Coturnix japonica: one gene and its partners. The protein of the gene in region 1 interacts with the protein of each later gene in a pairwise test. Links are inferred from orthologs where the notes say so. Each region holds a gene or a part of one and is shown on either strand. Other genes may lie near its edges. The genes, in order: SPG21, CTPS2, TFG, ARL6IP1, AKIRIN2 and ATPAF2.

Region 1 (5,249 bases):
ACTCAAACACTTTACTCCTGCTGAGCACTACGCAGGGACTGAAGGTGGCCAATTTTAATTGAATGACACAGAAAATACCCTGAAAGTCCACACTATGGGCTATGAAACGACATGAGAAGTGCCTGAGCTGATAAGCACCGTGCTCCTGCCCTATCGATCAGCACCACCACAGCTGTGTGACTGCACCCAGAGTCTGCTGGGCTGCAGGCAATGCATCCAGGCAGCCGTCCACCCCGCAGCAGTGTCTGTGCTGCTCATCACTTCTCCCTCTTATAAAAGCTGGTAGGGTACAACATTAAACTGACCACACCACACGTCAGCTTCAGGCCCTGGGACAAAACTTGTCATGTTCAGCCAAACCAGAGCTCTGAGTGACTTTTAGCTCTATTATCTCTTATGGAAAGAACTTCAATGTAAAAATAAAGACTGAAGAAGAAAGTTAACACAACTGTCCTGCATAAGTAAACCCAGAGGCAACTTTTCAATAGCAATTCCAGCCCAGTGTTGGCATCTCCTGCTGGAGGATGGAGGCAATATAAGGGTGCAAACATGTAGCAGCACAGCAGCAGTCAGGTTTGGGCACTCTTTGTACTTATCAGAACACGTATCAAACATAAGGGCTGTGGCAGCTGCAATAGCACCTCTCCATAACCTGCCTAAGTTTAGCAGGCTGTGACATAACAGAAGGCTCCTTTGCAACTTATTAAGCGTTAATTGAGAGGTGAGGAACAAAACGCCAACTTTTAGGGCCAAACCTCAAGTATCCTGTAAGAGTCTTTAACTCAAAGGTGTCACAGGGAGACTGACAGGAGACGAGGCCACCAGAGCTGCCCAACAACCTCGAGTTAATACCAACCTCCACCACACCCAGCAGTGATGCCCCACAAAGTGATCTGCCCCAACCACCACCGTGTGCCAAGCGAAGACTTTGATAAGTTCCAAGTAAGCTGATGTGCAATATTACCCCACAAACATATTCTGCTCTTATTTGTTCTTGTACACAAGAAATCCATCAGAATTCTTAGATCTGAGGGGGAAAAAAAAACCCCAAGTTGTGTTTGTTCCTTAGAAAGGCACAGAGAAAAGCAGCAGTTGTGAGTTAAATACAGCTTTCAGAATCCTTGTTGCCCTGGTTCTGGGTGGGTCGGAAGGCCACGTTCAGCCTTCAGAGGGCTGATGGCCCACACAAAGGGGGGTGCAGCGCTGAGCTCAGCCCCGGGGAACCACGAACGGCCCCTCTGCCCTATGAGCCCCAAAACCCATTGAAAAGCAGGGAGGGCTGCCCACAGCAATGCATTGTGAGCTGACAAAGCGCACAGGACACACAGCAACAGGAGCAAAGGAAGGCTGAAGTCCCTCGGAGAGCTGCCAAGGGGCCTCGCGCTGCTCGTGAGCTGGACGCGCTCTGTGCCAACCAAGCACGGAATGACGCCAAGCACAGCCCCACAGCCTCAAACTGCGGCCCAAGATGGAAACACCGTGCGGGGCTCAGGGCTCCCTCAGCACCGAGCACCTGCGGAGCTGACAGGGCCCGGCCCGGCGGGGCAACACGAAGGAGCCACGGCGGGGGGGGGGCTGAGGGGAGCGAGGGATCGGGGTGTTTGGGGTATTTGGGGTATTTGGGATATTTGGGGTCGTTACCTCTCCTCGCAGAGGGCAGCGTGGAGCCCAAGAGACGCGCGGCCGCGGCGCAGCTGTGGCAGGCGGACATGGCGCGGCCGCGGCCCGGCCCGCTCCCCCTGACGAGGCCTTGGGCGGCGGCGGAGTGAAAACAGCCCCTCCCCCACACGGCGCCGCCTAGTGACGTCACCGCGCACACCTCCCCCACTCCCCCCACATCGGACTACCGCTCCCAGCAGGCACCGCGCGGGGGGGGGGTCTCTACTTCCGCCTCGGTAGCGATGGCGGCCCGTCCTGCTGTCACGTGGTCGGCGCGGGGTAGTACCCGGAAGTAGCGGCTGGTGGTGGAGGAGAGCGGCGCAGGCGGCACCGCGCCCCGCTGACCGGGCAGGGCCGAGCCGCCAGCGCTGCGCCCAGGTGTGTGGGGGCGCCGCTATTGAGTGTTACTGAGCGGGGCTGCGGGGTCTATGAGGCTCCGGTGGGCTGGGGGCGGCCGGGGCTGAGGCCGAGGGGTGGGTGTTGTGAGGGTGGCCCTGTGGGCGGGGGTCTCGTGGTGGGGAACAGGCCTCGTTGCGGAGTGGACGCGGGGCCTGCAGGCAGGGCACACACTGAGCAGCACTGGGCCTGTGGTTCCCTTCCATAAGCAGTGACAGGTCCTTGGAAACCCCGGTGCTGGACTCTGGATCACTTGGGTGCTGGCCAAGGTAAAGGGCAGAGCTCACCTGTGTCCTGCGTGCTCCTTTATCCTGCCCGCTGACAGCACACAGATCAGCTTAAGGCTGAAGGAGGGGAGGTGATGGCAGTGCGAGTGTAGGGGCTGTTTGCAGTGAGTGCTTTAGTTCATTGGAAGTTGTTGTCTTTGTGTCTGTGCAGCTCTGCAGGCTGCTGGAAAAGCTGTTCTTACCTTCACTGCAGTTTGATGTGCTGCCAGACTCTGACAAAGTGCTGTTAGCTCTATAAGGCCCTTCTAGCCTGCAACAGTTGTCTGTTACCGGGACTGTGCCGTTACAAGAGCATCGTCATTTCCTAATTGGAGCAGTGCATGAAGGCAGTTGGGTGACTGCCTCGTGGGAGCACAGTTGTGTGGTTTGTGATGAAAAGATGAGGAAATGGTGCAGGTCAGATGCAGTGCTGCTGTGAGCAGCTCCCTGCAGGTGCTTTGTGTGCATGGCACAGCTCTTGCCTGCTGCGTAAGGGAAACCCCGTGTTCTTGATTTCAAACATTGTTTTTCTTTGTTTCAGTCTGACCCGAGTTTTTTCCTAACCATCATGGGAGAGATTAAAGTCTCTCCTGACTACAACTGGTTCAGAAGCACAGTTCCTCTTAAAAAGGTATGTACCGCAGTCCTCAGCTTGCATGCTACATCTCTCCTTGTACTCTATGGCACAGGAATTCAAGCAGTTTGGCTCTGGATAATGCAGAACAGTTGTGGCTGTGTTCATCCAGACAAACTGTTTCCCTACATGTCTTAGGAGTGCATGAAAGCACACTCTTACTTTTACTTTTCACATGCTTCTGGGCAAGCAGCATGCTCGCAGTTGCTGCCTTCCAGCTGGTTTTGTTCTTTAATGTGGGCAGCTCTTTGGGCTGCAGGATGGTGCTGGCAGAAGAGGGAAGAACAGCACTACTTCTTTCAACAAGTTGGTTCCATTTGGGCCACTGTAAAGGAACTGTGTCCCCAAACCTAAGGAACAATGCTTAAGTGTGCCTGGCTTTCTCTAAGACATCAACCTCATGACATGGTTCTGCCTTCAGCTACTGCTGACTGATCAGGATTTCAGAAATAAGAACACGTGTGTAAGCCAAAGCTGTTGTTAACAGGGTTTCTGGTGACCTTCAGACTAGGGAATGCCTTTCCCCCTTGAGTGATCCAGCCATCTCCAAAGTAAAGTGATGCTACAGCGATGAATATGGGGTATGAAGAAGATAGAAGTAAAATAGTCCTTGTTTCTGGCGGGTGTGGGACGTACTTATGATTACATTATCTTCCCAAAGGCTTAAGCAAAACTTGTGCACTGTGGAGGAAGGAATGGCCAATCACTGTTACTCCTGATCAGTGCCTGTTACCCTAAAGAAGCAGAGCCAGCACTGTTTGAAAACATGTTAAGATGCTCCTCTCAAAAGCAGCAGGAAATACACAGCTCCGTTGCCTTTCCTGCCCTTGTCAGAAACAGGAAGTACAGTGCAGAACATAATATTTTTAGGCAAAGTCTTAAGCTCTTCCTCTGAACCTGCATTTGGATTTGTGGCCCCTAAAGTCAACAAGTGCCACAATGTGAGTGGCCCTGATGTGATATTTCAGCTCAGATAAACATTCTGGTTCTCCACTGGGAACTGCAGCCACTCTGGTCCTTGTCATGGCTGCTGTACTGTTGGTGTGGGTACTGCAGCTTCTTAGGGCCTAAAATGAAGGAAGAAGGGAGTACAAATTAAGGCTGATTCAGACCAGACGCTGTACCACTGTATAGGGATCTCCTCCTCAATATACACCACTTGCTGTTTTAGATCAGTCCTTCTTTAAAACCATCAGCAGAGGACACTCTGGTTCTGCTAAAGCCAAGGGAAGTTCTGCCTCTTGTTTCAGTGATGTACAGATTTTGCCCTTTTGACTGTAACTATTAACTGTTTTGACTTTTGACTGTAAATGCTCTTCAGCAGTGGACCTGAAAAAAGCTAATGCCCTCCCAAGCCAGCAGTTAACCATCCCACAGCACTTAGCATTGGGTTTGAGCTGTAGTAGTATCTGGGATGTGGCTGGAAATCAAATAGAACAGTTCAAACCCCCTGATTCATTGAGTTTGAGGAAAGAAACTTTACCTCTGAGCCTCAGTTCCCTTCATAAGTCAGGTGTTGCTCCTCATCTGGAAGTACTCCTTAAGATTCTGCTGTAGCCATTGACAGCTACCTTGAATGTCTCCAAAGTTACTGTAGAATAACAGCTGAGAGCTGTAATTTCTGGAGATGATGTGAAGGGTTGATTTTTGGGAGGCTTTAGGAGGGCTTTTGTGCAGGGTGCTGGGGGGGTTTTTGTGTGTATGTGTTTTCTTAGTGGCTTCAGTGGTCTGGGAAGCCCTGCTATGTAATCTGTCTTTCTTTGTTTCTCTTGGAGATCTCACAAAACAGCAGTATCATGTGATTCCTCACATGTTCCCAGAGCTTGAAATACCGGCTTTATTACAAGCAGATTTGTTAATCAAGCAAAAATGATACACTGTTCTCTAACTCCCTGAGCAGCTTAATTGCTGTGATGGGAAAGTGAATTATGCTTCTATGCTGCTATTCAAAAAATTACAGAATCTTGACACGTGGATGAACTCCTGCTGTGCGATGCAGCTTTCCTTAGATTTGTGACTGTTGATCTGGAATGAGCTGCATGCTTTTTGCTGGGGTGATGAGGGTTGAAACCAGCATGCTAAATACACACAACAGCTTGTTGGTAGGTCAGGCCCTGTAAAAGCGAGCCAGGCTTCAGCAAGGCTGGAGCAGACAATCGTTACCTAATTCCTATACTTCTGAATATACTATTTCTGCTGTGACTTCTTGCTTCTGGCATGTTACGTGCCCTCTGTGAGCAGCTTGTGGTGGATAATCTGCTTCATCCAGCTGTGTCGTAGGGACTCCAGGCTCT
Region 2 (5,238 bases), on another chromosome or scaffold:
GGTCAGTGACTCCACCACCTCCCTGGGCAGTGCATTCCAATGCCTGGAACCTTTCTAATCCCCCTTCCCTGGAAGCATTCAAGGCCAGGCTGGATGGGGCTTTGAGCAACCTGGTTTAGAGGGAGATGTCCCTGCCCATAGCAGGGGGTAGGAACTATGTTTTCTTAAAGGTCTCTTCCAACCCAAACCATTCTATGATCCTTTTCATCCTGACCTCCTTTGATGTCACAGGCAATGGATCCACACCTCACCATACCAAATTCTTACTACCATAGCAAATTACAGGATAAATGTTTTTGTCACTAACATCCTATATTCTTCCTCCTGAAAATTCCAAGTACCCTTCTGGACAACCAGAGTAGATTAGGACCTACTTACAAGAACAAACAGACACCTGACCAATCACTACAGTCAATTTGCTGCATTTCAGAAAGCTCAAAATACGTATATTAAAGAAACACCTCAGACTGACGTCTCAGAAGACACCGAGCCAGAATTTCAGGGAACACCTTTAGTACAGAGCTACACTTTGTATTAATTTTACCTAAGAATCTACACTAGTAATGCACAATTCCTACCTACAGCCCTACCTCTCTACAAATGACTTCAATATAATAATCAAACAGACACTGCATACCTATAAGGAATTAAAGAAACGCCCACACCACTTTAAAAAGCATGTGATTTGTATGTATGCATTGCTTTACTCATAGCGCCAATATGTAAAGAAACGCTGTTCACTTAGTGAGACATGATAACCTAAAGGAACACCTGAAGCCATTTGCTTGGTTACTATCTCAAATACACAACAAACGTTACACAACGGCTGTTATACAGTCATCAACAAGTGTGACTTAGGAAAGTAACTGAGATAGTTTCCTATCTTAGTTAACCTGACCCAAAGTATCATTTACATCTAGGAATATTACATCTGCTTGGGGGCTTGTTTTGCTATTCACTTGTTTTTTCAAGTATTGTGGCCACCTTGCTTAGTGATGCAAAGTAAACATAAGCTACACTGGGGTTATAATTACCTACAGAGAAGGCAGCTCTTTAAGCGCGTGGGGATGAGAATAACCATTTAACCTAAAACCTACATGCAGTTGTTCAGTTCAGTTAAAGCTCAGTGCCAATGAGTAGCACCAGGGGATTTACCAGTAACCATGCACTGAACTGATCTGCCTTCACTCCTGTTGCTAGTCTGCCTTACTCTCACTATACCACGGGTAGTTAGTCTGCCTTATTCTCACTATAACACGGGAGATTCGCTGTCTTTAAGGCTACATCACTACTATTTCTAAGCAGACACATCGCTGAGCTCCTGGAGCACGTCCCAGGCAGGACGGGGCAGGACAGAACACAACAGGACACTCACTGCCGAATCCCTTGGCCTGGTTGAGTAGCGCATCCGTATCCTCCTGCGGCTCCGCCCGCTCCTGGCTCTGCGCTGCCGGCTCCGCATCCAGCTCCTCCGCGGGGCTGCTCCCCTCCTCGGCCACCAGCAACTTCTCCTCTCCCGCCCGCTCCAGCCCCAACCAGCTGCCCAGACCGCGCAACATGGCGCGGGGGCGGCCGCGCAGGCAGCGTTTAACGGGCGCTCCAACGACCGGCCCCACTCTCCACACGGACTAACAGACCCCTCGCTCCTTCCGCATACGCCACGTCCGGCTGCAGGGGCGGGGTTCTGCCTGAGGGCGGGGCTGTGGGGTGGGCAGCGTGCGGTGCTCGCGTGGGTCCGTGTCCGCCTGCCTGCTCCCCTTCCCGCGTGGAAGGTAACGCCCCGCTGCCTGCTCCGGAGGAGGGGCCCTTTCTTCCCTCGAGACTGTGCGAAGCGGGTTATGGTACGGGGGTGAAAGTGGCCCCGCCAGTCGCCTCGGCCACTATGGCCGCCCTATGGGAGCGGGAGCACCGCCGGGCCCTGCCTGTCCCACTGTAGGACAGGCAGTGTGTATAGGGATGTGGTGTAGGGAGCCTGCTTTGGCAGGGGGGTTGGACTCGATGATCTCTAGAGGTCCCTTCCAACCCCTACAATTCTGTGATTCTGTGAGGGCCGTGCGCTGCCTGTTGCTGCTCCATGAGCTCGTGGGGGTAACACTGAGCCGTTTTCTGCTCTACTCGAGCTGCTTTCCAGCCCCCGGCAGGTGCTTGCTGCCACTGCCCTCCCTTTGGTTTTCATTACCTTTTTTTCATCATCTCTTGTGGGTAGTACCGTGGTACTTAGGAGTAGCGGTGGTTTCTGTAAGCACGAAAGTTCAAGCTGTCTGCAGGGCGTGTGGCAGCTTGTGGAGCCCTGGAGAAGAGGGAACTTGGTGGCTTCGGTATTTAGGGAGAGAAAAAGAGCTGGCTACTATTTCCAGCAGCTCGTGTGGTTTCCCAACCCACCTGGCATGTGTTATGTTGTGAGTAAATAGTGGGTTTCCAGAGCTGTAGGGAGATAGGGAAAGCTGTGCTTCTGAAAGTAGCAGCTCTTGGTTGGGTTCATGTCAGGAGAGTGGTGGGGTCTGTGAGTCTTGAAATGGCACGTGTTGAAGATATATGCATTTCATTTCTTCATTCATCAGTTTCTTGTTTCTTGCTTTATGCTACTCTGCAGTTCTGTTATTAGCATCTTTACGGGTTGTGAAGGGGAATGGAAGGAAATTTCCTCCTTGTTTTCTTTAACTTCTGTTAGTGTTTGCTGCATGGTGACCTCTCACTCTGTAAATTCTAAGGGTTCTTTTCTCCTGGATTAAATGCTTTGGTTGCTGCATCCTCTTTGTTCATACTGGCAGAGAAATAATACTCTGTTAATTTCCTGCTATCCACTGTAAAAGCATTGATAACAAGCATTGTTGCCTTCTTGACCTCTGACAGCTGGAGCTCTAGGCCCTATTTATGTTAATTAATAACATCAGAGGAGCAGTTATTCTCTTGCTACTGCATCCTACCAGTGTTTAAAGAACACTGTGCTGACTCATCTTATCATGAACTCTTTCAGATCACACGCTATTACATGCTGTTTTGAACAGTTTGCACGTGTAGGTAAGGAAAGGTTATTCTTGACCCCAAGCCTTTTGCTTTGTGGCAATGCTGTGACATGGGGAAGTTGGCCATATTGGAGGCCACATGACACAGCTCTGTGCTATCCAAGGTTGCAGTTCTGACTTTGTGTGTCGTCACTTTGAATGTTTCTTTACATCTGCAATTTAAAACTGGCTTAGCTTTGTTTTTTGCTAGTACAGCATCAACTTTTCTACCTCATGGTCCAGAGAGGCTTGGGTTTTGTTTTTTTTTTCCCTCTGTAATTAGTTGGGGAGTGAGTGGGTATGTGAAGAAAGACTAATAGGCTCACGGTTAATATGCTGTCATGCAAATGTGGATGTTTTGGTTCAGTTTTTCTTGCTGTTATATTCCATTGATGTATAGGATGTTGTAGGACCTTTGGTGAAATACTTTGTATGTTGTGAACTAGAGAGGAGAATAATGTAGTGGATGATACAGAATGCTGGTTTTATTAGATACTGGTAGCTATAGGCTGAAGGTTTTGAAGGTAGATCTGCCAAGGAGAGGATGTGATTGTTCTGGCTAATGTAGCAAGGAACAGTGTTAGAGCTAACTTCTCAAAACATAAATGAAGCAATTGATTTCTTTAATTCAGGAAGAATCTAGGGTGAGATTAGTCTTGCCTAACTTGTGGTTCTAAAAGGTGGTTGGCTGTTCCTGTCATGTTAGAGAAGTCAGTTGAGTTATACCTGTTTTGGTGTCTTCACAGGGCAGTGCATCTAATTAGTATCTCAGTTTTCTCATTGATTGTGGAGAGGATTTAGACATCAAGCTTAAATAGTAACGTACAACGTGGGAGGGATTCTAAAGTGGTGATTTTGTTGTCTGTTCCTGAAAGTCATTTCAGTGTTGATTCTTTGCATAGCGAGACTGTTATTCCCCAGGATGAATTTGCATTAATCAAATGTATCTTTGTCATTTTAGATTTCCAGCGCAAAATCTGTGTGCTTGATCTGATTTTCCAATGAAGTACATCCTTGTAACTGGTGGAGTCATCTCGGGTATTGGCAAAGGGATCATTGCAAGCAGCATTGGCACCATACTGAAGTCATGTGGTCTGCGTGTCACTGCAATCAAAATTGATCCTTACATAAACATAGATGCTGGAACGTTTTCACCATATGAACATGGTATGAAGAACAGCGCTGTTCCATTTTGTAGTAAATATTTACATATTTAATCACGTGTTTTTAAAACAAGCAAACACACAAAAAACAGTAGTACAGTAGTTATTAGTCATTTTATCATCTATTTGACAATGCAAACTTATTCCCTTCTGTGTGTTTTCAAGGGTGTTGTCTGCTCTAAGTAAAGAGAGGAGCCTATTGGAAGATAGGTCTGTGTGTATAGACTTACTTTCTATGAAATTCTGCTTTGTTGAGAAAATCCTGGCTGTGGGCCTTGTTCAGTGTATGCTGTCTTCTGTTCAACATGAAAAAAATTGGAGTAGTACAGCTTCTCACTAGTGTCAAGTGACAGGATGAGGGGAAATGGCTTCAAGTTGCATCAGGGAAAGTTTAGGCTGGATATTAGGAAGAACTTCTTTACAGAAAGGGTAGTTAAGTACCGGAATAGGCTCCCCAGGGAGGTGGTTGAGTCACCATCCCTAGTTGTGTTTAAGAGCTGTTTGGATGTGGTGCTCAGGGATATGATTTAGTGGAGGATTGTTAGAGATAGGGTACTATGGTTAGGCTACAGTTGGACTTGATCTTCAAGGTCTTTTCCAACCTGGGTAATTCTATGATTCTATGAGAACATATTTGAAGCTGTACTGCTGGACAATCAGCTGTGAATGCTGCTACCTGGGTATCAGCGTCTCTAGCATGTCATCATGAGAGTTAGATTAAGCTTTTGTTTTAGTTGATGAAGGTCAGGTAAAAACCCTCCGTGGAGCTTAGAAAGCTGGCTAGTCTTATTACTTAAAAATAGATGCTTTTAGTTTGGGTGGCTTGTATCGATTACTTTGATGAGCTGCAAAGCAGTCTGATAGGCATTTATAATGCTGAACATTCTCCTGTCATGCGTGGTATTAGTATGTCTATTGAAACCAGTGGCTTTCAAAGTTCCCAAACACCTTCAGACAAGAGGGATTTCTGATTTGTTGTAGTTGTCAACTTTTGCCTGCTTAGTTTTAGTCTATATCAACATCTTTGGAACTGAACTGAAAGCAGTGCGCAAGACCTCACTCAAAGCCAA
Region 3 (4,394 bases), on another chromosome or scaffold:
GTATTCCTAGAATCCATAAGACGGAAAATATTAACTGAAAGAGCATGTATTGCCCTTTGCTGTTTATATGGTTTATTGAATGCTTTTACAGATCTCAATCTGCTTTTTCTTGGCTCAGCATTGAGTCACTGGGATCACGCTCCCAGATTTTTCAGGGTGGCAAAGGACCTGTGTTATGTTGCTCCTCCTTAACAGTTCTTTATTAAAATACAGATTTGGCTTCATCTTTTAAGTAATGAACCCATTCTCCCCCTCCCCTTGTTCAAGCGTTTAATTCAAAGATGCTACATATTAGCTATAGCTATATTTAGGAGAAGTAACCTGACAATTAACAACAGCAGACAGTGCAAAACCACCTGTTGCTGTTTGGTGGCTCCAAGAGCTTTACACTGAGTTTGAAAGGGTAGGGAGAGATAACAAGGAGTGGGGAAGCACAGCCGAGTTAGAGGGATGAGGTGCTAGTGGGGGCCCTAACCCTTCTGCACACTTGAAACCTTATGAGCAGCCTTTCATTATCTAAAAGAGGGGCTTGTAAGAAAGGAGACATTCTTTATCATAGTCTGCTGTAATAGAACAAGAGGAAATGGTTTCAAATTAAAGGAAGGAAGATTTGGAATGGATATAAGGAAGACTTTTTTTTTTTAACAATAAGGATAGTGAGGCTCTGGCATAGGTTGCCTAGAGCTGCAGTGGACGTCCTGTCCCTGGAGATTTCAAAACAAAGCTGAACAGGGTTCCGCACAACCTGACCCAGCTGTAGGTATCCCTGTTCATTGCATGGGAGTTGGACCAGATGACCTTGAAATGTCCCTTCCAACTCAAATGAGGTTGTGATTCTATGTCTTGGGAACAGTTCTCCATTTAAACACATAGCTTTTTGCTTATGTAGTTTTCTTGTTCCATACTACCTACACTTTAAATTAAAGACCAGGCACATAATGGATTCAGGGCTTTTTTATTAGCTTTCCATGTGAGCATTACAATTTATAATACATCATATCTAGTTTTTACTTCCAAATTAATCTAATTTAGTAAATCATGTATGTTATTAGTGGGCTAAACTTCCAGCTAGCATTTTAATATCCTTCAAACGAGGCAAGCTAGGATGTCAATCGATCACTTGACAGACACATAGGTAGTGATCCCAAACCACCCCAGCCCCAAATTAAACTAGGAAGCGGATACAATTCAAAGCATGAACAGCTCAGTCGCTCCTTCCCTCCCCCCACAGAACTAATGAACACTTACGGTGACTCTTCTGCCTCGGGACAGCTCCGGATCTTGGTAGGGATGGCTGTCAGGCTGCAGCAGCCAGCACCGGGCACTCAACCCTTACCGGTATCCAGGCCCGGGCTGCGCGTAGCCCTGGGGCCCAAAAGGTGGCCGAGTGCGGGCATACGGGTTGGGCCCACTGGGTGGTGGCGTCATGGTGCTGCCGGGTGGTGGGGTGAAGCCAGGCCGTGGCTGGAATGTGCCGGGTGCTGCCTGGGCACCGGGTGGGCCGCTGTAGGGGGCTGGCTGCGAGGCCTGCGTGGTGTAGGGCTGCGGGGGGAAGCTGCCCGCCGGGTACTGCTGTGGCTGCTGCGCTGGCAGCTGCTGGGCCTGGCCCTGCCCTGGGAAAGCGGCTGCTGGGGCCGGTTGCTGGCTGTAGGCTGGGAACTGCTGCGCCGGCTGCGAGGCGGCCTGCTGTGGGCTGTAGCCGGCTGTGGGAGAAGAGATGTGGGGTAAGGCATGGCATGGCACCAAGTCGCACACAGAGTGACAGCGGTGACAGCAGAAGTAGAGCGGTAAGCACAGACAAGCAAACATAAGGAACTGCGAGTTTTCCTGCTGTCACATGTAAGCACGCAGCCTGGTATTCCCACAGCCAAGAAGAAATTTAAGACAGACAAACAGCATTTTACCATCACAACACATTAAAAGTAAGAAAAAAAAAATCTTCCTCCACAAACAAGGCAAAAAAGTAGCCTTTTCCCCCCAAAAAAATCAAGATCAAACTGTCATGGAAACACTGTTAGTGCTCAGTACTCTTAAGTCATTGTGCGAGTTAAATCGTAGATATTTTCAGTTCTTTAAAAGCAGAGTTAAGTAAGTTCAACAGAAATTGTGCAGAGCAGCATACTTGAGTACAAAACTCCCATTGAAACACGCCCCAACTTGGTGGTTCTACATAAAACCAGCTTCCAAAAGGATTTTTTCTTGTTGAATACTTTAAAATAGCGTTAATTCCCTTTATGAAGAAATAAATAGCTACTTTTATCCAGCACGAAACACACCTGCAGCTACTTGCAATGAAACCTCTCCATTGACTGGAATCCTGTCAGCATTAAACACCAGACACACAAGTTATTAAAAGTGCACAGCCCTGAATAGAGAGTAAGGATCGAAGAATGCACTGAAGTATATTTTGAACTCACCTTAAAACTGGGATCAAAATTTATGAGACAAACCTTAGTAGGCTGCATGTTCACTACCATGAGGAAATCTTCTTGTCTAGCAGAGCTACTGGGCAGAGTGGGGATGGATCACACTCTGGGGGATAGGGGTTCTGGAGGTAATCCTCGTGGGCACAACAGCAACAAGCAGATGAATAACTACTTCCAAGTAAAGCTCTTCAATGGCAGCTGTCAAAAGGCCCTCACAGTGAGACTGCTTGTGACAGATCTGATTACTCAGGAAATGGGTTTGGGGAAACACAAGGAGCTCCAGATCATTTCTGGTGATAACAGTGTCTTCTTGGAGACATTCTAAGAATTGGGGATGCAGAACTCATGTTGCGCTACAGATACTGCAGGAACTTCCGCAGTAAAAAAAACAGTTTAAGGCCATGGTGGAAAATGATTAGTACATAGATGGAAACTCCTTTTTTTCCTGCATTAGTTCCTTAAATCTACACAGAAAGACAGACAGACCGTTCTACTTCTTTAAGCCTAACTTCAGCAGAAGGAACTGGACTGGTGGCAGTCTGTCACAGATATCTACCTATACAGAGCACAGGAACAAGGGATAAGGCACAAACCCTCTATGTTCCAAGTGTTCTGCAATTCTTACCCAAGCCACACAACTATTCTCATCTATATCAAATCTGATGCACTTCCACTGTATACATTGTGGGGGGAAAGAAAGCAGTGGTACAGGCTGTTTTCTGAGGCACTTACCAGTATGGACGTCTTTGTTTGTTTTAAACGATCTAAACTGCAACATGACAAATGCTTTCTATCTTCCTCTAAAAACAATAAGCAATTGGAGATATACATCCATCCTTGTACTGTAACATAGCCTGCTTCTGCTGAAGTAAATAACTGGAAATTCTGAACTCGAGTTTATTTTGGAGACACACAAAACCCAGAGTTTCGTATTTGCAGACACACCACTAATGCACTAACATGGTCTCCTGTGAAAAGCAGTAGCTCCTTTAGTTGAAGCACCAGTAACTTTGCTAGAATGCCGTGATGCAGACCTCAACCCTGAAGACTGCTCATGCTTTATTTTACCTACTGTTTTTTTTTTTACCAGTGCATTCTTCTGACAGATGGGTAGAAACGAGATACCAGAAGTCCAACTTTAGTAGCAACAAACACTGAAAGCATCTGCTAACTGGTCATTTTTGAATTGTGCCCATTTCCCTCAGAAGCGCAGGTGTTTGAGATGCTCAGCACCCTGAGCTGCCCCACGCATTCAGGATCCACAGCTCAGAGGGCTGGGCACCAATGGAGACATCCCCTAGCTACACCACAGTTTGCAGGAGCCGCTTACCTGGGTACTGCACGCCATACTGCTGCTGGGGCTGTGCCTGTGGCTGCTGGGCAGGGTAACCTGGCTGCTGGTACTGCTGGTACATCTGGCCTGGGGACAGAGAAATCAGTTGGCTGGGAGACAATACCTGACCTATATCAAAAAGATCAGACGCACAACATCCTAGTGGTTTGAGTTGCAGAAATAACACGTACAAGTTACAAGATTTTAGTCTCTGAACCATGCCATTCTGAAGACAGATCACACAGTCCTAATCTGACGGAGGGCCCACTATTCCAGTGGATGCCAAGAGCCATATACCTTACCTAGCACTACACTGGTGTGTAACAGAGCAGAAATCTTTACATGGCTTGCTAACTTCTCCAGAACTTACTGTAAATCAAAGTACTTCAGAAGTTAAATATGTCCTCAGATCGTCTGTTTATAATAGCTTTTAAGACTATTTCTGTACAAAGTACTGTAGCGGTGGTACATTATTTATTCTGACCACACTTTCTCAGCAAGTCCTCCATCTCTTAACATCTGACTTGCTGTAAGCCAGGTTTTCTTAAAGAGACCCAGGGGTACAGCCCCTAAAACTGAAATAAAACTGTACATTCTTAAGGTTGGGTGTTCAAATTCAGTGCTGATTTTTCCTG
Region 4 (4,084 bases), on another chromosome or scaffold:
GTTGCACTAAGCCTCAGCAAGTCACAACACACGCTCAGATTTGTTTGACAGAATTCAGCACTTTGCAAATCACACACATCAGCACTTCTGCTTGGGTTTGATGAACTCACACACACTCAGCTTTAAAAAGCAGCATGTAATCAGCAACATGCCAACCCCAATAAGCAAAACCCCAACGCTGGGGGTTGGAACTACACGATCCTTGAGGTCCCTTCCAACCTGGGTCATTCTGTGATTCCGTGCCACCTTTCCTTGGCGAATAGTTTAGATCTTATAAATTCAGCATTGGCCCCATCCAAAAAGCATGTCACACATAGTATTAAACGTGCTACAAAGCTTCCCTGCCTTCAAGAATAACAGTAGTAATAATACGAGCTGGCCCGGCCCGTCCCTCAGCCCCCTCCCTCCATCCGTGTCTCTGTGCTGCCAGGCGGGCTGCTCCCCCCCACCCGCCCCTTCGGAGGCTCTATAGAGCGCTAGAGACGACGCCGAGCGCTCAAAGTGGGTCGGACCGCTCGGACGCGGTCTCGGGCCCCCGGTGATGGGAGAGGAGGCGGCGGAGGAGCGAGGATGGGGCGGGGGAGCGGCGGATGGCGGCCGGGCCGAGTCGGCGGCGCTACTCACCGGTGCGGCAAGATGGCGGAAAAGGAAGAGGCCGGGCGCCCGCGGGGGATTATGGGAAGGCCATGAGCGCGGAGCGGCGAGCGCGCCGCACGGGGAGATCTCGCGAGACTCCGCATCCTATACGGAAGGCAACGCGCGCCGAGCTCCGCCATCCCCATTGGTGAGAACAGAGTGACGCACTTCCGGCGCGACGCTTCCACGCGCGTTCCCATAGCAACGAGGACGCTTCCCGGGGCCAACGGGAACCGCGAGAATCAACCGACGGCGGAACCGCGACCCGGCACCAGCCACACACAGCACAACCAGAATGACAATAGTGTCTGATCATCTATATTTTCCTATTGGACTGTTACAATAACACCGAGACTCCATCTTCAAACAATACAATTGTAAAATGCGTGAACACAGGTTGGAGCTTTACAAAGAAACAAAGTTATTTTGTAAAAATAAGGAGGGAGATAGAAGAGCACAGCACGAATCCAGCACTATGGATAAGCACAGCCCAGCACAACAGCCATAAAGCAAAGGGCTCCGTGACAGAGCAATGAGCTGTGGGTGGGGGTCACACATAAACCCACCCCACAGCCTCAGTGCAACACTTTGTCCTACAGCTACAACAACTAGAAGCTGATGGACCCAGAGCCCAGCACGGCAGGTACAGCCACAGAAACAAAGGGATTCAGGGACACAACAGGACCAACCTCCTGCACCAGCTCTGATTCAGCTCAGCCACCAGCGCTCAGTCAGTTCATGGGCTCCTTTCCACAGGACTCAGTAGTAACAAGGCTTTGAGAAGTGCAAGCATTCAGAACGCCTTCATCATACCTGCTGTAACCACAAACCACTAACAGGTACAGAACCACCGTGATCAGCTGCAGTAAGTTCTTACCATAGGGTACTTATGAGGCCTCTTAAATTGGTGAAGAAATTTAAGCTCCACACGTCAAAGATCTTTTGCATTAAATCAAACACAGAACCTCAATCTGCACAGCAAGAGACAAACCCATAGCAAGTGCTCGAGGGGCATTTTCCATTCGTTGGAGCCATTAAAAAAAAGTTAAGCCAGTGAGCGATACAACTTCTATTATCTTAATTATACATAAATTCACAAAACTGTTCCCAAGAAAACCTTTTACAAGAGCAAACAGCAGTTCAGTCTTCACTCATTTTTCTTCTCCTTGTGCTTGAGCAGTTTGTTTATTTCCCTTTTTGCCATTCCAACGTACTTTGTAATGATCCCATGCTGGTTCAGCCCAGGAAACAGCAACAAGAAACTCACTGGAGAAATAAACACAAAAATCAATTCTTTATTAACTCTTCAACAATCTTTGTCACCTTGCAGTTCTTTGCCTCCCTTAAGCTCCACCAACCGTCTGAACACACAACTAAATGTCCCATGTTAAACAAAACATCCCCACACAAATAATCCCATCTCACTCCCACCAGCCTCGTACCATTTTAGGCAGCTGACAAAGCTGGATCTGTTTGGCATGCTACACACTTACCAATAAGATACGTCAGAAAGAGGTTGTGAACTTGCTGTCCAATCCAGGCAACCACAGCAAGAGAACAAAGCATGGTCATGAAGTACTGAGAAAAGAAAAGGGAACAGTTACCACTGATCTGAAGGAAACTCTCATCCTTCCCTTCAGTATGCAATGACATTTCAAAGTCCAAAACTAGACTGCAGCCCACTGGCCCCTCCACATGCAATATCAATGCACAGGCTTGTTAGAATTTACACTGCAGAGATTACACCTGTACGTTCTCAACTATTTATGCAGCATTCAATTTATTACAGTTCAGCAGCTCATCTCCATTGAAATAGCCCTCACAGTATGCTACCCCCATGTCCATACAACCTGTGCTTCATGCAGCGCCTGAAGCTTTGATTGGACAAAGCAAAGGGACATTTTACAATGATACAAAGAACCCCTGGACCTCAATACCATTTTAGGCTTCTCTTCCTTCAGTGAGAAAAGACGTTTCCACCATCCAACAATTCGGCGACGAGATTTGACCAAATTGCTGCAAATCTCATGAAATCTTTGCTGCTGTTCTGTAGTCCTTTTAATAAAGAGAAGACAGGAATAACAATTAATGTTCTCATCTGAAACTATACTATATATGTATATATACTATATATACACACATCTGAAACTATACTATATATGTATATATACTATATATACACACACTATTTTCCAGCAGGAAAAATGTACCTATCTTGACATTTGCCTCACTCAGTTTTGTACATTCTTTTTACTGAGCACTATAATACAACCACCTATGTAACTTTTAAGTAAGCTGAGTCTCTCCAATGGACTCTAAAACTGCAACTCCTATTTAAGCCAGAGAAGCACTGACTTTCACCTTTATCTGCTGAGTGCAATTAATTGGGTTCTTCTGCTGGCACGCTCCTACTCCTTCAAAATAAAACCTGACTTTGCTAGAAGAGAAGGAACAATAAAGATTATGCTGTAGTAGTTTTATTTCAGAAAAATAATTCAGAAGTGTCCTCACTTCATAAACTACAGAGACTGACAATGACAGTGACTATGCAAGAATCATTTAACACTTGCAATTCAGACATTCGCTTGGATAGAAACCAATTCCTTTACACTCAGGCTATTTTAATTCAAGGCTTTCCTCACCATTTGTTAGAGCCAAAGATTCTGGGAGCAAGAGCAGGAACGAGATAATCAGCCAAACAGATGAACATAACAAAGCAGGAGACGCCTGACAGAACGGATGGATCCAAGTAGTAGATCATCCTGTAAAAACAACACGGAGATGGTTTCTGGATGCTCAGACTGCTAAATACTTGCAGTACTTAGTCACGTATCCAGTTGGTACAGGACTTCAAACAGAACCACCCTCTTTGCCTAACTTCTTTTGGCTTCAAATTTGCTCCTCTTGCCTATAAAAATAATTTTAATTGATTTAATTTAATTTAATATTCAAGCTTAAATACTTCAATATTATTACAAGGAAATGAGACGATATCAAAATACAACTTTCTAAACATACTAGAAAATACTATAATACAACAAGCATATCATAAAGTTCATTACTGCTCATCCAGAAGTTGAGGTCTAGTGAATGTAGCACTGAGCATGGGAAGACTGAGGGAACATGTAAAAGAACTAAGAAGGGTGAGAGCTCATCCTGTTGGTTCTGCAGTAAATCACAGCACCCCCAGGCTGCCCCCATTTACCGCCTCACCTGTGACATCCAACCAAACCTGTTCCACACAAGGAGTCATAACCCTCCAAGTAGGACAGTGCTGTGAACTTCTACATTACATTTACAGCTGTATGGTTACTGGACAAGAACCTGCTTATCTCATAGGTCTGCTAACATTCACTGAGACCTACATTACCTTTTTGCATTTAACAGAACTTCTTGAATACTGAAGAATAAAAGTGAAGAGATGACACTCCACCACAGAGCCAGTCCT
Region 5 (4,501 bases), on another chromosome or scaffold:
GTTAAAAATCTGGTTTTGGTAATTTTAAGAATCCACACTTAGTGAAAAACCCCTTCTTGTGGCATTCAGCATAAGAAAGTTAAGGAATCCAAAGGTAAAATCATCTACCGTGAACTGATGAGAACCTGTAAAGATACCTGGACCACTGGAATCTCCTACGGCAGGTTTTAGCTATTTCAAGTCAAAAGATGGCTAAGTGCCATGAATACAAGCACCGTTAAAATGAATTCATAACTTGAATTGCAGTAATAGAGCTGTTTTTCACAAGCAGGTTCTAGAACTGCTCTCAAGCTGAAGTTTCACTGAGCCCCTTGCAGTCTTCCCTTCTGGGTTTCAAATCTGCAAAGGCTAAGTTTATGCTGACATCGTGGTTTCAAATAACAACAGGAGGGGAAATCCGGGGCATTACAGCAACCTCAGTTTTCCATTGATCACTCCATCACTCACTCTACGTGAAAGGCAATGCTGCTCACAAAGAACATGGCAGAGGAAAACAAAAAAGGCAGTATCTGGCTAACTACCTCCAAGAAAAGCATGATTCAGGAAAGGAATGAAGAAAATAGATCCAAGTTCCAAACATTCCGTTCAGTCACTTGAAAGAAGCTAATCAATATTTGTTACACAATTTCCAGTTGCATTTCCATTCATTTCACTGGTCTGTAAAAATGAGTCATCACCTCACTGTACAAAGCAAAGAAAGGGATATAGTTGCTCTGCCAGCAGAAAGATGCAAGTGGTCTTCTGTGAAAAGAATTATGCCCAATTCTAACAGTCTATTTCTAAACTCCTGTGTAATACTAAGAATTCACTACTGGCAAAATATATGGGATGCAATAACCAGTTCTTTTAGAGATCACCCTACAGGGAAATAAACCTTATCTCATCTCACTGTACGCTGCCCTCAGGCCCTAGGAGAAGGTACTGTTCCCCTTCCCTGAGGTTCCCTTTCAGAGTGACACAAGAGCACACGGTGCCAGAGGTTCCTGCTGTAAAGAACTGCAAGTTGGACTCAAAGACTGAGACAAATCAATGAGCATATCTGGTCTTCAATTGGTTGTTATCATCACCGCTAACTGAAAAGCGTTTAAGAATGTAAGAAAGGACTCCATTCCTAACATACATAAATTAGAAGGAAAAAAAAAGACTCTTGTTTCAATTAATCAGTCTGAATCGAGTTAAGAAAGAAGAATCTACAAACAAAACATTAGGTCCAAAGAAAACTAAGTATGCAGGGCTGGTTATGTATTAAGAAAACACACACTTCATGGTAGCAGACCAGAAAGCACAGAACGTGAAACAGACTCAGGTGCAGAGACAACGCTGTCACGTGCAACCCAGCAGTCTGACAGGCTTGGTGACCTCCTGCATGGGCAATGCCCACAGGAGCTGGCTCCTGAATCCAGAGATCTGCTAACTTTAATTTGATGCGTTTTCAGGTGGGACACAATGGCAACAGGTATTCAAAAACTAAGCTCACTGCCAAAGCGTGTCCTGAAATGCTCATTATAATCATACTAAGCATTAAACACATCATATTGTGAAGGCATCTACCTCTGAACACACCAAAATTAGATCCTCAGACCTTAGCAAAACACTCAGAAGTAGAGGACACTGACAACTGAAGGAAAGTCCTTTTCACATTGCTGGCATTAACACGATCCTTATCAAAGGTAAGCTGACATGAGGCGCCAAAAACACCAGCTGACTGGTAGGAAATGCAAGGATTCAACACAGAGGAACAGAAACGCAGCTAAATTACTGACAATGAAGCAGCTACCCAACACCGCTGGCAGCAGAGTAATGTAATTACTGGGAAGTGAAAGGGAAGTCTTAGGTACTGTGTCTTCTTGCCAAATTCCAGAAAAAGGAAGTCAGTTTCCAAGCAGGGAAAAAGATCCTTCACAAAGAGCTCTTAAAGAAGTAAAATAGAAAGTCTTTCTGGCAAAAAAAAAATAAATAAAATGAAGAGGAAATGATCAATTCCAACACAGCAGCGAGAGAAAGTTCTATGTGAAATAAAACCTCTGTTTCCATTGATTAGTAATACCCAGGAGTCACAGTTTCTATCCAAGACAGCGCAGAACAGAAAATCCTATCAAAGAGTCTACAGTTTTATCAGCACTGTATGCAATCTCATTCTTAATCAGACCAGCTCAGAAAGAAACTAAACAGCATAATACAAAAAAAGAGAAGTAAAACAAAATAAAAGCTTTTGAATTCATGCTAGCACATTATTTTGAACCATTAATATACCTGCAAGTTTTGTGGTCAAAATTTCTTCATACTCTTCACGGATTTTCTCTTCACGTTCTTTCAGCAAACGTTCACAGATCATTCCAACTTGTCTGAGAGTAAACAGGGGCTGTTCTTTTTTCAATGGTGATGATGCTGCAGATGAAGTACCTAAGACAAAAATACTGGGGTATAACCCATGTCCCACTTACAAGGAGTTCAAAACCCATATTATAATCAGTTCTCCTCACACTTTTTACATTAAAGGAATTTTACATATTATTTGGAGACTAGTTCCTGGGCCATTGAATACTTCAAATTAAAGTGAATCTTAACTGTAAAAGGATACGTATGAAAAAGCCAGGAGCATCACACAGTGAGGCACAAATGGCAGTTGCCACTGACAAGCTTCTATTCTACATTAAAACTACAATGTATTTTTGCAAAGACAGCTGCTTTGTATCAGCCTATTGCAGGATCAGTGGCAGGGAAAGAAGAAAACCTGGTAAGCTTCCAGATTAATGCTATTATTGCTTCCCCCCAAAAGAAACCATAAATGATGAGAAAGTGCAATAATACAGGAAGCAAAAAAGGCAAATTATTTCCTCAGAATCTGAGAACACAGACCAAAATTACACAGAACGCTCCGGCTACCTGGCAAAGCTGGTCCAGTAAGAAATAACGCATGTGGCTGTGCATCAGTAGAACAACAAGGATCTGTCTGCTGGAAGTTATTTTCTAAGTGTCTCCTCTTCTGCATGCGTTTGTACTCCTGTTTTATGTTGTACAGAATTTGTTCTAGGAGAAAAACAGTCAAAGAATTAAACCTCAAGTAATTACATTTCAGCATTTCACTTTATTTCTACTAGAACATCTAATGTAGATGACCAGGAGATGCTAAAAACTAAACTCTTAAGCCTCCAAGAACGGTGCCATTTTACCCAGGACACAAAGCAAATAATGAAACTAACAGAGAAGTGTTAAGTCCAGAGCATTTTCACAAGAGAACACATGAGCAGAATAGATTATTTATTAAGGTCAAGTGCCAGTGCTGGGGTAAAGCTAACAAGAACAAACAGTCTGATTTGGAAATGTAGGAACCAAAAACTGGATGATACACACAGATGAAAATTAAGTCTCCGTGATGTGCCGCTCCTCCTTATTCAGTATCTGACAGACAAGCAACAAAGTAGGGAAGGAAACAATTCTGACCAAATATTCATAAAGCAGCTACTGCTTAAACCCTCCAAGAACTGGAATCCAACAGACAAAAACAAAGGCCTTCGCAACACTTCATGGCCCCAGATGTATCCAAGTAAACCCCGTGGATGGATCAATAACCTCTTTTAAGAGAGTACAGCAATATGTAAGTCAGCATTTGACCTGCACTGGGTAAATACAGCAGGTGCTTCTAATAATCTCATCTCATTATCAACCCTGTGGTGCCTCCTCTCTGAAATATGTGGCAAAAAGCTCTCAGGACCATCAGAGCCCCCCAATGGACACCCCTTGGGAAATAATGCCTTCCCCCCTACTCCTCCAGGAGACCTTCAAACAAAGAGAGCTCCAAAGCCTCCCTTCATACCACAATTCTTGTAAATGCTCAGACCTATTTATAAAACAAACAAAACCGCATTTCCCTAAACAGTCTGCTTCCCCCAGACTAAGCTTCTAGACTTAAGGCAGAGATGGCCTTTCAAGGCTCACATACACATTCATCACTGTGATTGTGTCAGGGTTGCAAAAAGCTCCAACTCAGTTCCTTCCTGTTTCCATTCAATGCAACACCATGAAACCTTCTTCCACCAGTTTTCAGTGCTTGTGAACCCAATGTTCCTGAGGTCCTACATTTGAACATTTCCTAACACGCACCCGTATGAAGCAAGTTAACTTCAGCAATAAGCTGTTTCAGTAAGTGGCCGAAGCCCATGCCAGATCAAGCAGAAGCAAACATTTGTCAATTTCTAGTTCAGAGGTTCAGTGGCGGCTGCTCTCTAATAGCACAAGCCAATCTAGAGGATTCTCATTGATGGGCAAGGAAATCAATTCCAGCCAACAGAAGTATCAGCACCTTCTCCAAGGAGCTTGTTTGGATGTTGCTCCTGGACAAAGAGCACCCTGTAATTTCTACCTTTTCAATCCTACGCCCACAGTGCTTGTGCAGTTCTGTCCGTCATGGTAACTTGGTTCAAAGCTGCAACTGCAGAAAATATAAGCAGCACAACAGGGAAATGAAGGAAATTGAGGAAGATAAAAGAGCCACATTCAA
Region 6 (3,915 bases), on another chromosome or scaffold:
CTGAAAGCTTTAGTACCTGCAAGCACAGTGGCAGGAACCTGTGAGCCACAGGCACACAGCAGCAGCTGGGGAGAGGAGCACTCTCCATCAAACCACTCCCAGAATAACAGCAGGTTTCCAGCCCAGCAAGCACAAGGCTGTGGCTGGGGCTCTGTGTGCCTAGCAGCCTTGTCTTGTCGCTGCCTCTTGCAAAAGCAGCTTTCTGCAGCGTGAGCAGAGCAGCCCCCAGCTAGCAGGAAGGGAAATCAATGGTTCCACAGGAACTCACACACTGCCGCTCGCAACAGCCAAGCGAGGAGTCATTAATTCCCCTCCTTGCTCAGTGACAGCAGCTGCTGCACTCACTTGTGGGCAGCTTCTGAGGAATGATGCTGGCCAGGGCGGTACTGCTAGAGGCAAGCAGCAAGGAGAAAGGTGGGAAGGTTAAATGAAAGGGTGGCTGCATATGCACTCTGGGGAGAGACCTGGTCTCGTGAAAGCCCTTCAGCTGGTGCTGCCTGATGTACAGATTTAGCTCCAAGTGCCTTATGCTTTTGGAAATGGCTGTGGGAGGTTTCCCCCTCCCTGCTTGTTCCAACACTGCACAGTCAGCTCCCTGCTGCTCCTTGGCTGCTGGGACAGGACACCTCGTACAGAGAGACTCACACAGACACACAGAGAGAGCTAATCTATCTGCCTTCTAGTGTCTGCTCAGCTCTGCTCCACGACTTTCTGCCTTCAGCCATTCCCACACCTGCGTAGAGCCGAGCAGCTCAGGATCTACACCATGGTTTGACAATTAAAACAAAGAAATACTCAGCAGCATTAGCTTTCAGTATCTTGAAGAGGCGTGCCTTTAATCAAACAGAGAGACCCTGGTGTTACATACAGGCACACTGAGGGATGAAGAACAGATGCAACGGAGTCTGTTTTCAGATTTCCATAACAAGTGTGTGTCAGGAGCTGGCAGCTATGAAGACATGTGGCATATGCTAGGTGTGTCTGTGCCGTGCCCTGCCCAGGAAGCTGTTTCTTTCAAGGGAGCTCCTCTGATGAATTACAGACACTGGTAATGGACAGCGCTGCTTCCTTGAATATGCAGAGGGAGCTCACCTTGACCTTTCCTCCTCGTGGGCTCAAAACTGCTGGCGCTGCACTGCAGCAAGGAGCTGCCCACAAAGCTGCAGTTCCTCAGCACAAGCCTGATCCCAGACAAGCTGTGGTGGCAGGATGGTTGTTACCCTCTCCAGGTCACGGCAGCAATTCACAGCAGGGCATCTTCCTCCTCCACCCAGTCCTGCAGCCTTAGTCCTGCAACAGCTTGTGTTTGACAGTTGAGCTCTCTGAGCAGAGATGAACAAAGAGAGTCCCAGCTGCTGCACGAGCACGCAGCTCACACAGATCATAGTCATGGGCCCACTCCACATTGCCCCACCGCTGAATCTGGAGGAGGAACACAAGTCAGTTCAGAAGTGGATTACACTCAGAGCTGCTAGGCAACTCAGCCTCCTTTCTCATGTCTGTGAAACACAGGCAGCCCTCCAGGAGCTGTGCTGACTGCACACTACTAGGGTAGGGAGATCTCTGGATGAATACGGTGGAAGGACATGATTCCTCTGTACTGAGCTCTGAGGCAAAAACCCCTTAAAGGGAGGATGAAAATACTCTCATCAGTTTCAGCCATTTTAGGTCAGGGAGAGCTTCACACCAGGCCAGATTTCAGCTTTTGCTCTCAGAGGAAACAATTTAATAATAGTTTGGTGTCCAGCAAGGCCTCCAGCCTGGAAAACCCACAGCAAGAGAAGCCATCCATGGCTTTGCACTTCAGATTAGAGAGGGAGAAAAGCAGCCACCTGGGTTCTGCAAAACAAAACTGGCAGCCCCAAGAGCACCCTGGGCTGTTGCATCTATCATGTTGCTCTACAGCAGCGTGCTCCGGACTGGTGGAGTGGAACCTCTCCTGTAATAGCAGGCACTTCCCCTGCCAGTTATTTGTGGTGGGGGGTGCATTTGTCATGCTGAGATTATTGCTATTTGAATTATGGGGTTGCTCTGTAACATAATTTACCTGGTATTCTTCCTCCAGCCGAGACAGAAGCACGGCTTTCTCTACTGTAATGTGCCTGTCAATCAGGCCCATGGACAGAATCAGAGATTTCAGCTGGGTGATTACATATTCTATACCTGGAAGGGAAAAATCCAAAACAAACAATATTCATGGTCGTTTTCCACAGCATTACAGCAGCATCCTCCCATGCTTGGAAAGGACAATCAGGCTGTGGTCCCCCCTCAGGCAGATCACAGTGATGCCTCCCCACTCCCATCTGGGCTCCTAACAGCCAGACATGCAATTAACGGCACAATAGTGCTCTCCTGACCACCATCACTGCAATGACCTCAATGCTCTGATCATCTCAGCATATCAGCAGGGGGGGAAAAACGTTACAGTCTCTCCCCTCTCCCATGGAGAGGAGCTCTCCTGCCCTTGTGCAGCCCACACAGAGGGCTCCTGCAGCCCAGCCTCTCACCTTGCAGAGCCCACATGTTGTAGGAGGCCAGGTGGCTGATGAAGGTGTCCCTGGTGCTGGCTGGGATGTTTGGTCCCATGATGCTGGTAGAGGATCCGATTGCCACGTTGTACCTGACATGATCACATGGCCCCTTAGAAAAGCTTGTGGATCTTGCAGCTCTGAGTCACGAGCACTACAGCTATGGGCCTTTAGAAACAGCTTTAAACTCTCACCTTTTCTCAGCCCAGGCAACAATAGGATCCCATTCTTTCTTCTGCAGCTCTGCCAAGGCAACTGGCTCCTCCACACGATAGCTGGGACATTGCACAACAAAGCCATGTGGGTGTTCACACACAAGCTGTCAGACTGCTCCCAGCCAGACTGCAGCACTCCTGAGAAGAAAGTCTGTGCCCTCCGTAGACCACAGTATGGGGAGCATAGACCTCTTGTTCACCCTACCTGCAACAGCTGGGACTGGGAATAATCTCTCCATTCAAAGCTTTTTATTGTTCTAGAAAGGACAGTTCTATGCAGCTATATAACAGGGCTACAATCTACAACAGAAGACTGCAGATTACCTGAAACCAGCCAAGGGATGCAGCAAGATTTAGTGATCCATGGGACAAATCCCACAGGGCCCTTCCTGCTGCCTTGCACGCCCAGTGGCTCAGCTTAGCACTCACCAGCCACCGCCCTGCCCAGCCCAACACAAACAAAGCCACAAAAAGTGAGGTGAATCTGGTTTCCCTCTCCCTTCAGGAGCAAAGCAGCTGCCAGTGGACACCTCAGAGGCTGAGATTGTGAGACGTGAGCTTGGGTAGGCTGGATCCTGCAACCCACAGGAGCTTTAAGGAGCAAAGGGCATTTTACTACTAGTACAGGTAATCTAAGCTTACTACACCTTTATGCTACTGGAGTGCCAGGGGACTGAGCTGACATTCTCCCAAGCCTTTCTTTGCTTTTCCCACTACATTTCTTGCTGCTCCTGCTCCCTGTCCAACATGGACATCTCCAAACAGATTTCAACAAAGAAACAGGTCCCTGTTCTTTGTATCTATGCCCTTTAAATGCATGGAGTTCCACTAGGTTGGTGGACATAGGACTCGTCTAAACTAATTCAAACCCCTGGGCCAAAGCCAGGACAGAGCAGAGCCCTGCAATGACTTGGTTAGAACAGACATTTTCCCTCAGTTCTCTCAACCACTCTACAACAAGACAACCCCACCTCTGTGCCAGTGCATCCCGCAGTCCCTTACCAGACAGTGTCAGTCTCCAGGAACTTCACAGCTGCACGGATCAGCTGCACCTTGTTTCGCTGAGTGGGATTGTCCAGAGCTGTGTTGCACAGTGTGGTCTGCAGGATAAAGGCAACTGAAATCACTGTTATCTAAAGCTCAAGGAAGCAGCAGTTTCCAGTGTACTAGGT

What was found.
Region 2: the proteins of SPG21 (region 1) and CTPS2 interact in binary tests that used the Homo sapiens proteins (3 or more experiments, as listed by UniProt). The two-hybrid records come from large-scale screens. The link is inferred for Coturnix japonica from reciprocal best matches to the Homo sapiens genes SPG21 and CTPS2.
Region 3: the proteins of SPG21 (region 1) and TFG interact in binary tests that used the Homo sapiens proteins (3 or more experiments, as listed by UniProt). The two-hybrid records come from large-scale screens. The link is inferred for Coturnix japonica from reciprocal best matches to the Homo sapiens genes SPG21 and TFG.
Region 4: the proteins of SPG21 (region 1) and ARL6IP1 interact in binary tests that used the Homo sapiens proteins (3 or more experiments, as listed by UniProt). The two-hybrid records come from large-scale screens. The link is inferred for Coturnix japonica from reciprocal best matches to the Homo sapiens genes SPG21 and ARL6IP1.
Region 5: the proteins of SPG21 (region 1) and AKIRIN2 interact in binary tests that used the Homo sapiens proteins (3 or more experiments, as listed by UniProt). The two-hybrid records come from large-scale screens. The link is inferred for Coturnix japonica from reciprocal best matches to the Homo sapiens genes SPG21 and AKIRIN2.
Region 6: the proteins of SPG21 (region 1) and ATPAF2 interact in binary tests that used the Homo sapiens proteins (3 or more experiments, as listed by UniProt). The two-hybrid records come from large-scale screens. The link is inferred for Coturnix japonica from reciprocal best matches to the Homo sapiens genes SPG21 and ATPAF2.

The regions. Positions count from the first base shown.
Region 1 is NC_029525.1:16,065,048-16,070,296, reverse strand, and holds the start of SPG21 (maspardin), read left to right. Parts: upstream 1-1,903; 5' UTR 1,904-2,037; intron 2,038-2,258; exon of another isoform or gene 2,259-2,324; intron 2,325-2,862; 5' UTR 2,863-2,889; coding exon 2,890-2,952; intron 2,953-5,249. Other genes in the region: CLPX (ATP-dependent Clp protease ATP-binding subunit clpX-like, mitochondrial), read right to left, coding at 1,642-1,711. UniProt on the Homo sapiens protein: May play a role as a negative regulatory factor in CD4-dependent T-cell activation.
Region 2 is NC_029516.1:109,439,927-109,445,164, forward strand, and holds the start of CTPS2 (CTP synthase 2), read left to right. Parts: upstream 1-1,681; 5' UTR 1,682-1,772; intron 1,773-3,966; 5' UTR 3,967-4,006; coding exon 4,007-4,172; intron 4,173-5,238. Other genes in the region: SYAP1 (synapse-associated protein 1), read right to left, coding at 1,376-1,559. UniProt on the Homo sapiens protein: Catalyzes the ATP-dependent amination of UTP to CTP with either L-glutamine or ammonia as the source of nitrogen. Constitutes the rate-limiting enzyme in the synthesis of cytosine nucleotides.
Region 3 is NC_029516.1:76,135,051-76,139,444, reverse strand, and holds the end of TFG (protein TFG), read right to left. Parts: intron 3,847-4,394; coding exon 3,757-3,846; intron 1,704-3,756; coding exon 1,333-1,703; 3' UTR 937-1,332; downstream 1-936. UniProt on the Homo sapiens protein: Plays a role in the normal dynamic function of the endoplasmic reticulum (ER) and its associated microtubules. Required for secretory cargo traffic from the endoplasmic reticulum to the Golgi apparatus.
Region 4 is NC_029529.1:8,039,131-8,043,214, forward strand, and holds the end of ARL6IP1 (ADP-ribosylation factor-like protein 6-interacting protein 1), read right to left. Parts: intron 3,399-4,084; coding exon 3,279-3,398; intron 2,692-3,278; coding exon 2,574-2,691; intron 2,215-2,573; coding exon 2,130-2,214; intron 1,903-2,129; coding exon 1,784-1,902; 3' UTR 933-1,783; downstream 1-932. UniProt on the Homo sapiens protein: Positively regulates SLC1A1/EAAC1-mediated glutamate transport by increasing its affinity for glutamate in a PKC activity-dependent manner.
Region 5 is NC_029518.1:69,571,635-69,576,135, reverse strand, and holds part of AKIRIN2 (akirin-2), read right to left. Parts: intron 3,031-4,501; coding exon 2,887-3,030; intron 2,404-2,886; coding exon 2,254-2,403; intron 1-2,253. UniProt on the Homo sapiens protein: Molecular adapter that acts as a bridge between a variety of multiprotein complexes, and which is involved in embryonic development, immunity, myogenesis and brain development.
Region 6 is NC_029529.1:5,009,085-5,012,999, forward strand, and holds the end of ATPAF2 (ATP synthase mitochondrial F1 complex assembly factor 2), read right to left. Parts: intron 3,844-3,915; coding exon 3,746-3,843; intron 2,804-3,745; coding exon 2,723-2,803; intron 2,621-2,722; coding exon 2,508-2,620; intron 2,164-2,507; coding exon 2,048-2,163; intron 1,423-2,047; coding exon 1,285-1,422; 3' UTR 805-1,284; downstream 1-804. UniProt on the Homo sapiens protein: Plays a role in the assembly of the F1 component of the mitochondrial ATP synthase (ATPase).